Bombyx mori: one gene and its partner. The protein of the gene in region 1 interacts with the protein of each later gene in a pairwise test. Links are inferred from orthologs where the notes say so. Each region holds a gene or a part of one and is shown in the gene's direction. Other genes may lie near its edges.

Region 1 (4,438 bases):
AACAATTTGGTATGTGATCCACAATGCTCTGCGGATGGGTGCTGGGGCCCGGGGCCTGATCAGTGCCTCTCCTGTCAAAACTACAATTTCGGCGAAATCTGTATCGATAACTGCAGCGTTCATCCAGGGTGGGTATTACTTCTATTTACGCACTTATAGTGGCATCGAAATTGATACTGCACAGCGAATTTTCAAAAGAACAACATATACTTTCGGTTTCTTCATTTCAATTATTAATTATAATATTAAACACACAAACACACACTTAATTATCATAATCTACAACGACAGTTACCAGCATCTAGCGGTCTTATTACCATAACAAAACCTAGTAGCTGACGTGTGGGTAGCATTCTCCTAACGGTTCGATGTCCTAACGATGGTGACCTCATTGTTTGTTTAATACACCAAATCTATCTTGGTGTATTAAATTGTAATTTATGTTATTTATGCTGAATTTCATTACTGTTCCAGATTGTACAAGGCTGACCACAAAAGCTGTAAGCAATGTCACTCGGAGTGCCTTGACGGATGCACTGGAGCAAGTCGGGCGAACTGCACCTCCTGTAAGCATGTCCGAGATGGCCCTTACTGTGTTGCCCAGTGTCCTGAATCAAGATATGCCTCAGAAAATGGAACGTGTCACCCATGTCATCCTAATTGCAATAATGGTTGCACGGGTCCTGCGAACACTGTCGGAGAAGGCGGATGTAATTCCTGCAATAAAGCTATAATAAGTGTTGAAGCCACAGTTGAAAGCTGTCTCAAGGAAGACGAACCGTGTCCAGACGGGTATTATAACGAGTGGGTCGGTAACGTTAAACCTTTAGAAGGAAAAGTGAAAATAGCGTGCAGAAAATGCCATCCCCTATGTATTAAATGTGTAGGATTTGGAATCCATGAACAAGTATGTCAAGTATGTAACGGTTTCAAAAGAGGGGATCAATGTGAGGATGAGTGTCCATCAGATCATTTCACTGATGAAATCGGCAGAAATTGTACACCTTGTCACTCAGAATGTAAAGGCTGTACTGGACCTGGTCCCACAGATTGCATCAAATGTAAAAATCTAAAGATATTCTTGGGTGGTTCTGATGCGAGCGACGAAAACGCTCCATTCAACTGCACTGATACATGTCCAGATAATATTCCTAATAAAATATATTTTGATGAACAATTACAAGACCCAATCGAAGAGCCGTATTGTTCTGAACACGCCAATGATATCCCAACCGCAACTGCAAGAACATCAACAGTTTTAGTTATAATTCTGGTCATAGCTTCCTTGTTCTTGGCGGTTCTTGCCATAATTGGATATAATTTCCGTCAAAAAGCAAAAGCAAAGAAAGAAGCTGTCAAAATGACGATGGTGTTGACAGGGTGTGAAGACAACGAACCACTGCGTCCAACTAACGTCAAACCAAATCTTGCCAAATTAAGAATAGTAAAGGAAGCTGAGCTTCGCAGGGGTGGTATGTTAGGATTTGGTGCTTTTGGAAAAGTATACAAGGGCGTATGGGTTCCTGAGGGAGAAAACGTTAAAATACCTGTCGCTATAAAAGTGCTAAAAGAGACAACAGGTGCGAACACTAGTAAAGAATTTTTAGAAGAAGCTTACATAATGGCTAGCGTCGAACATCCAAACCTATTACAACTTCTAGCTGTATGCATGACCAATCAAATGATGCTCATCACTCAGTTAATGCCGTTGGGGTGCTTAGTTGACTATGTGAGAACACATAAAGAGAAAATAGGATCGAAAGCATTCCTTAACTGGTGCACACAAATAGCTAGAGGAATGGCATACTTAGAAGAAAAAAGATTAGTGCACAGGGATTTGGCAGCCCGTAATGTTTTAGTACAAACTCCCAACTCAGTTAAAATAACTGATTTTGGACTAGCCAAGCTATTAGATATAAATGAAGACGAGTACAAAGCAGCTGGAGGTAAAATGCCAATAAAATGGTTGGCACTAGAATGTATACAACATAGAATTTTCACCCACAAAAGTGATGTTTGGGCTTTTGGTGTTACAATTTGGGAGATTCTCAGTTATGGCGCCCGACCTTACGAGAATATCTCAGCACGAAATGTACCCGAACTAATTGAAAATGGATTGAAATTACCGCAACCGAGTATTTGCACGTTGGACATTTATTGTGTTATGGTATCATGTTGGATGTTAGATGCGGATAGCAGACCGACCTTCAAACAACTAGCTGATACATTCGCTGAAATGGCGAGAGACCCTGGTAGATATCTTGTTATTCCTGGAGACAAGTTTATGCGCCTTCCATCCTACTCGACACAGGTAGTTGATATATTCTTCGTTTAAAGTGCTTTATTTCAACGAATATTATTAGTTTAGTTTTCTAATTGTAAATTAAAATGTTTCAGGATGAAAAGGAAATGATAAGAAATTTGTCATCGGCTATGGAAGGTCCAGAATCACTAGTTGATGCCGACGAATATCTACAACCTAAATTCAAAAGTATGACAGGTACAGTGACGACCAACTCCGCTCTCAGTGCGGGCATGGAAACCCAAACCAGCTCACTGAAACCCTGTACATCTTCTTCGTGGCCTAATAATGCTGGTCAAGACGGGGTCCCCGACCCATCTACTAAGCCTGAAAATTGGGATCACGAAATGTTGCGATACAACAATCAACTGAATCCCGATGGCTCAGAAGTACGTCATTACTATAATAACGGCGTATGCGCGTCTGACACTTCGAGTTCGAGATATTGCAGCGATCCTATGAAAACGAGAACCGAAGTATCTTTGGAAGATAACTTCGACGGCATGTCCAAGGCAAAAGAAGCTCAAGTCGGTAATTTAAAACTGAACTTACCGTTGGACGAAGATGACTACTTGATGCCTTCCCCACAACATACTCAGAACGCTTCGACGTATATGGATCTGATCAGCGAAGGCTGCGAAGGACAAGACGTTAACGACATCCGTTTCGGGGAATTCGTGAGTTCTAAACGTTGCATCGACAACCCTGAATACTTAATGTCAGAAGAAAGCGTACCGCCTCAGACGTTGGGTATCCCGACCGAACCAGTTCCACTGGAGTCACTGTCCGCGAGCGAAGAAAGCGCCGATACCACACCTCGTCCAGGTACTAGCAATTATATGCCGCAGCGTTCTGTAGAGGAGGAGTCCATGTCAGACCACGAGTACTACAATGATCTGCAACGAGAGCTCCAACCTCTACGACGGAATGAAACGACCGTCTGAATGCAATTACACAGCACACGATCCATTTGCAATTAATCTGTACTACACCATCTCCGACCAGGAATGTTACCACCGTTGCTATGATCATCTGGGTTTAAATATGAGTTGTGTGGATTTGATAATTATTATAACATTTAATTGTGCGCGTCGCATCTGTCTAGCGTCTAGCAGAGTATTGTAATTTCTCTTATCTCAATTGTTTATGGGCAAGAGCGCGCGCGCAAATCCCGTGCCATTGGACGATGGCTAGTGTTGGATCGATCGTAGTCTAAAGAGAATTTATACTAACATAGGAAAACCAATTTGTTAATTTGTTTATAATCATTAATATTTTTTTTGTAAAGATACTGTTAAAACTTTATGATTTGTAAAAAATATATATAATTTCTATAGTGTGTTTTGTACACCTAACAAAAGATTTAAGTTATTTATTAATTTAGTTTAAGAATGGCTATGTTTAGTTCTCTCGGATGCTATTTGTTTAGCTTAAAGAGCATTATTTTTATTTTAAAACTGTGATAATTAGTTTAATTTCGATACATTGCGGACCAGTGATTTTTTTTTATTATGTCCACTGTCTGAAAATTATGTGAATAAGCATTTTGCACTTTACATAAATGAATACAGATAGATAGAAAAATGCAAATAAAAATACAGCGTATTAAAGTACTGATTTTTTTTTGAGTTTACTGTAACATTGCAAAATGTTTAGAATTACAGTAAGACCCCGCTTAGCTTATTCTTTAGCTAGATATAGCGTAATATTATACAGCGTTATACGAGATTTTCTCGTCATGCAAATAATGTAAAGTTAGGAAAGACGGGTTCCTAATCGTCTTTATGGTCAAATATTTTACCATTCAGTTTATAGATTATGTATTTTATAACAGTAAAACAAAAATGTATTTCTTACAAATATAGAAACATAATAAACGAATATACTATATATAAATATATAAACAAAATTCTAAGTATCTTTCCATTTCAGGCCATTCTTCTCTTCAGTATTTCCAATTTTCTGCCTTAAGAATATTGTTTATTGTTGAAGTTTCCAAATCTCCGATTGACGTTGACCAGTATCTAATCTTTTAATCCATTGCATCTTAGTTTCTGGTGAAATTCTTTTTCTTGTTGCTTTATCTTCGCATTTAATTATTACCCAACATAAAAACTTCAAATCATAATATTTGTT
Region 2 (4,439 bases), on another chromosome or scaffold:
TCATAAGCATGTGCTTAGTATTTTATTAAAACAAACAGTACCTGCCTGAGGGATTTGAGCATTGGCATAGTCACATCGCTCACCTTAGGTATACCAGCAGTTTTATTCTTTAAGCCATAACGACTCCAAAATCTACTATTCACTGTTCCAACAGTACTTTAAGCACACAATCACAAGCCAGCCAAGTGAAGCAGATTCTTTCATACAAAATCAAATCTACTAATACATTATTCAAAATATTTTGATCAAATTTACATCAGCATACATTGTAAGGCATTTATATATGTACATGAAATTACAACATGCAGGTTGATGACTCAACCTCAGGCAACACACCTCACAAGTTCCTTAGTTGTATTATGGTGTTTAAGGTAGAATTTAACCTATCAAAATTCTCTTTTATATTTTTTTTATTGCTCTTGTAGAACGATGTATACGTACCACGAAGATGGCGATGGACATAAGCAATACCAGGGGCAGAGCCAAGCCACAATAGCATTGATGGAAAGTTAACCTTAAATTGCAATTGATGGAAATGAATGACTTGAATTCATAGTGTGTAACCACCTTTTAAAACTATTTGTAAGTCTCACTTGCATTGAAATAATCACTTTTCCATTATTTTAGCCAGAATTCATAATGTCAGAATTCAATAGGATATACAAAGCTGTACGAGCTATTTTATTTACACATTCTGAATCTCAATTAAGCCTTGTTTTCATTGATTTAAAACGAAGCCACATGACTTAATAGATGATCATTGTCAATAGTGACTATTGTCAATAATGTACAACAGCAGTTTTAGTAACAGCTCTATGTAAAAAGATTGTTTATCAAAAGAAAGTGTCTTACTACTTATGAAACACTGTTTTCATAAGTTAATTCCAAAACTAGGTATAGTAGGTACCTACGTATCTTTAATGATTTCAATAAAACTCATCAGCTGTTTCGTCACTTGACACAATTGTTGTTTAAGAAAGCAATCATAATCAGGAGGAATAATTTACTTAGAGCTTATACATGCTAAAACCTTGAATTACCGAAGAAACTTTAAGCATTATCAATTAAATAATTAACTTATGACCCAAATGACAGTGATAAACTTTATCAAACGAAAGTAAACATGTCAAGTATATTATAATGTACCATGTAAATTCACTAGAAGATTCGGCAAGGAATCAAATGCAAATTCAAAGTTATTTTTAGGAGAACACGTCATAGGGCATTCAATTTGGAGTACACAAACAGGTTATGATAACATGAACTCACCTAGGTCATCCATATTTTCTTCAGACTTAAGATTAAGTTTTTCACTACACTAACACAAATAACAAATGGCACAGTTGCACAGCTAAATATGTATAAATGAGCAAGAAATTACTTGTTAATACTGTTCGTGGATAGACGAATCAAACATGTTTTTATTGAATTGTAAATAATAAAATTCTTAGTCGCTATATAATTGACAACTGACATTTTGACATTTTTCCGTTTCATGTTCTGTTTTAGTTTTATCCAATTTTATAGGTAAAGGAAAGGAAAAGAAAACCGATGGTTGGGCTGCAATAAGTTAGTGGGTGCCAGGTTTCATGAGCGGACACTGATGGAGCATCAGTAGTAATTATATGATGAATTTGACTTTTTAAACTTATCATGGAACACTTGATGTGATTCAAGTCCAAAACTTCACAAACTAATTTGAGTAAAAGTGACTTTATTGTTAACTCTCTCATATTCCTATTTCCCTGGCAGTTAAACAGAATTGTTTGAGATGAAGAGTAAGCCTACTTTCCAATCTCGGATAGTACTAACATCCTGCGGAGGAATTCGGTACCCACTTGAAAATAAGTTGGTCGTGAGTTCTTTAACCTGTCTATACAATTTAAAAATTATATAAGTTGAAAACCGTTTAATCTTGGCTGTCTTGGTAAGTGCAGTGATGTTTTTTGTGGAAGGCATATGTTCATCAAGTATAACAGATACCTAGTTATCGTCAGTCATTCTCTTATTTGTGTATCTCAGTGATAATTTCTGTCCGTTATTGTACAGATTTTTTGAACATACAATCCAATCCCCAGAAATATCCTACACACTTAAAAATATAGTCCAATCCTTTTATTTCTTAACACCATAGATACCTAGTACTCTTCTTATTTTTTTAAGTGTATCATCTATATTTTACTCTTTGAATTCAATTGATTTGATTTAGTCACTGAATCACTGATTTCTACATAAATTTATTATTCTCTAAAAGTATATTTCGTGTTAATTTATACTCACAATTTTGTGTATACTACTTTAGTTTCAAAAAGTGTTCAAAATGACTACCACTGGCGAACAGTTAACGTTAGCTAGGGATATAAAACGTGCCATTGAATTACTCGAGAAACTGCAACAGAGTGGCGAAGTCCCTGCAACGAAATTAGCTGCTCTCCAGAAAGTTTTGCAGAGCGACTTTCTAAATGCCGTAAGAGAGGTTTACGAGCACGTCTACGAGACTGTAGACATACAAGGCTCCGCAGACATAAGAGCTTCCGCAACTGCAAAGGCAACGGTGGCCGCATTTGCTGCTGCAGAAGGACACGCTCACCCTCGAGTAGTGGAACTGCCGAAAACTGAGGAAGGCTTAGGGTTCAACGTAATGGGCGGAAAAGAACAAAATTCTCCGATTTATATATCTAGGATAATACCGGGCGGAGTTGCTGACAGACATGGTGGCTTGAAGAGGGGTGATCAACTTTTATCCGTTAACGGAGTCTCAGTTGAAGGCGAGAATCACGAGAAAGCCGTAGAACTTCTGAAGCAAGCCGTGGGATCCGTAAAATTAGTTGTCAGGTACACACCAAAGGTCTTGGAGGAAATGGAGATGAGATTCGACAAGCAAAGAACTACACGGCGACGCCAAAACTACAACTAAAATTTTTCACCGGCTTTGCAGTCATTTATCAAACAAAGTGTATTAATGTACCTGTTATTTTTATCCTATGTTTTAATGAGGAACTTTGATAATCTTTAAGGCATTGTAAAACTTTATTTAATTTTATAAAAACCTATATTACTTTTACACCCAATCAGTTGGCAGTTGGAGACCATGGCTATTAAAAATTGGGAACTATTCAAGTATTGAAAAATATTCAATCTGCTATTTATTTATATATTAAATGAAAACTTTGTTAGTGTGAATTTAATTATAAAGTTTTCTTCTATTTAAATCTAAACGGTGTTTTAAAGAAATTTCCTTTTATTTACACATGTTTAAAATACTTAACAATTAATTACTAATTAAAATACTTAAATAAACGAAATGAATGTATTGTAGATGTATTATAAGTTTTTGCACATGTTATGAATGTTTATTGTATGTACTTAATTTAGTTTTTAAGTTAATATTAAAATATAATTGAGGCTGTACCAGATTTATTGTCAACAATTGTGATTTCTACAAATGTAGTCAACCTCAATAATCATAGAAGTGCCCTCGACAGAACAATTAAAGAAAAGAAAGTATTTATGACTCAAACTGAATAGATGTACAAACAGATTGTAACTGCACCTTGTTAATTACCACTATTCTGTCTATTTCTACCATGAGTAAATTATTACTTAGATTTATGGATGAGCTCTCGGCCCACCTTGTTTTATGTGGCTACTGGAGCCTGTAGACATTTACGTCTCACTTTTAACAGTATAACAGCTGCCCCATCATACAAACCGAAATGCATTAATGCTTGACAGTAACAACAGGCAGGGTGGTGGTACCTACCTGTGCAGACTTACAAGACGTCTTACCACCAGTGATTATGTAAATTATAATTTTGCAGGTTTGATTCTTATTACACGATGCTATTACTTCACTGTGGAAGTCAATCGTGAACATTTGTTAAGTACCTATTTTAGCGGCATCTGCTTGTGGGATTCAAACACTGATGCATCACTACATACAAATGCACCTGACGTCTTATTCTTTAAGCCACAACGATTTACAAATTCTTTACTTATCAATATATTAAAAAGTTATGTGGTGAGCGGTGTTGTGGTGTGAAATAGTGGGGCATGTTAATTACTCAGAGCACTCCCTGTGGAACATGTGGTACAGAACTGAAGGCCCTCTGTAGACCGAAAGGTCCAATATTATTGGTAATAGTAGAACTGTTGACAATCTGAATTACCTTCATCAGTATGCAGTCAAATGGAAATAACTGGCATTTGAGAGCACAGCTAAGAGCAGTATTCCATGCTACACTGAACTGGCGCTTTTTAAAGTATAAGCCTTTGTGTACATGTGAAGTACTGCATCACTTTGTAGAGGACTTTCATCATTTTGGCAGTGAGCTTGGTTTTATCTTCCAATTACTCTAATACAGAATACCACTCAAAATATCAACCTCAACAATAACAATAGGCTCGGAAGGTGGCAGAGATACTCCTTTAAATTTCAG

What was found. The genes of interacting proteins can lie anywhere in the genome.
Region 2: the proteins of epidermal growth factor receptor (region 1) and protein lin-7 homolog C interact in a two-hybrid assay, tested with the Caenorhabditis elegans proteins (3 studies listed by BioGRID). The link is inferred for Bombyx mori from reciprocal best matches to the Caenorhabditis elegans genes let-23 and lin-7.

The regions. Positions count from the first base shown.
Region 1 is NC_085107.1:5,355,147-5,359,584, reverse strand, and holds part of epidermal growth factor receptor, read left to right. Parts: coding exon 1-128; intron 129-474; coding exon 475-2,314; intron 2,315-2,397; coding exon 2,398-3,246; 3' UTR 3,247-4,438. UniProt on the Caenorhabditis elegans protein: Tyrosine-protein kinase receptor which, upon binding ligand lin-3, activates 2 signaling cascades: the let-60/Ras and MAP kinase signaling pathway and the let-60-independent phospholipase C-mediated Ca(2+) signaling pathway.
Region 2 is NC_085116.1:14,600,987-14,605,425, reverse strand, and holds protein lin-7 homolog C, read left to right. Parts: upstream 1-1,549; 5' UTR 1,550-2,320; coding exon 2,321-2,917; 3' UTR 2,918-3,416; downstream 3,417-4,439.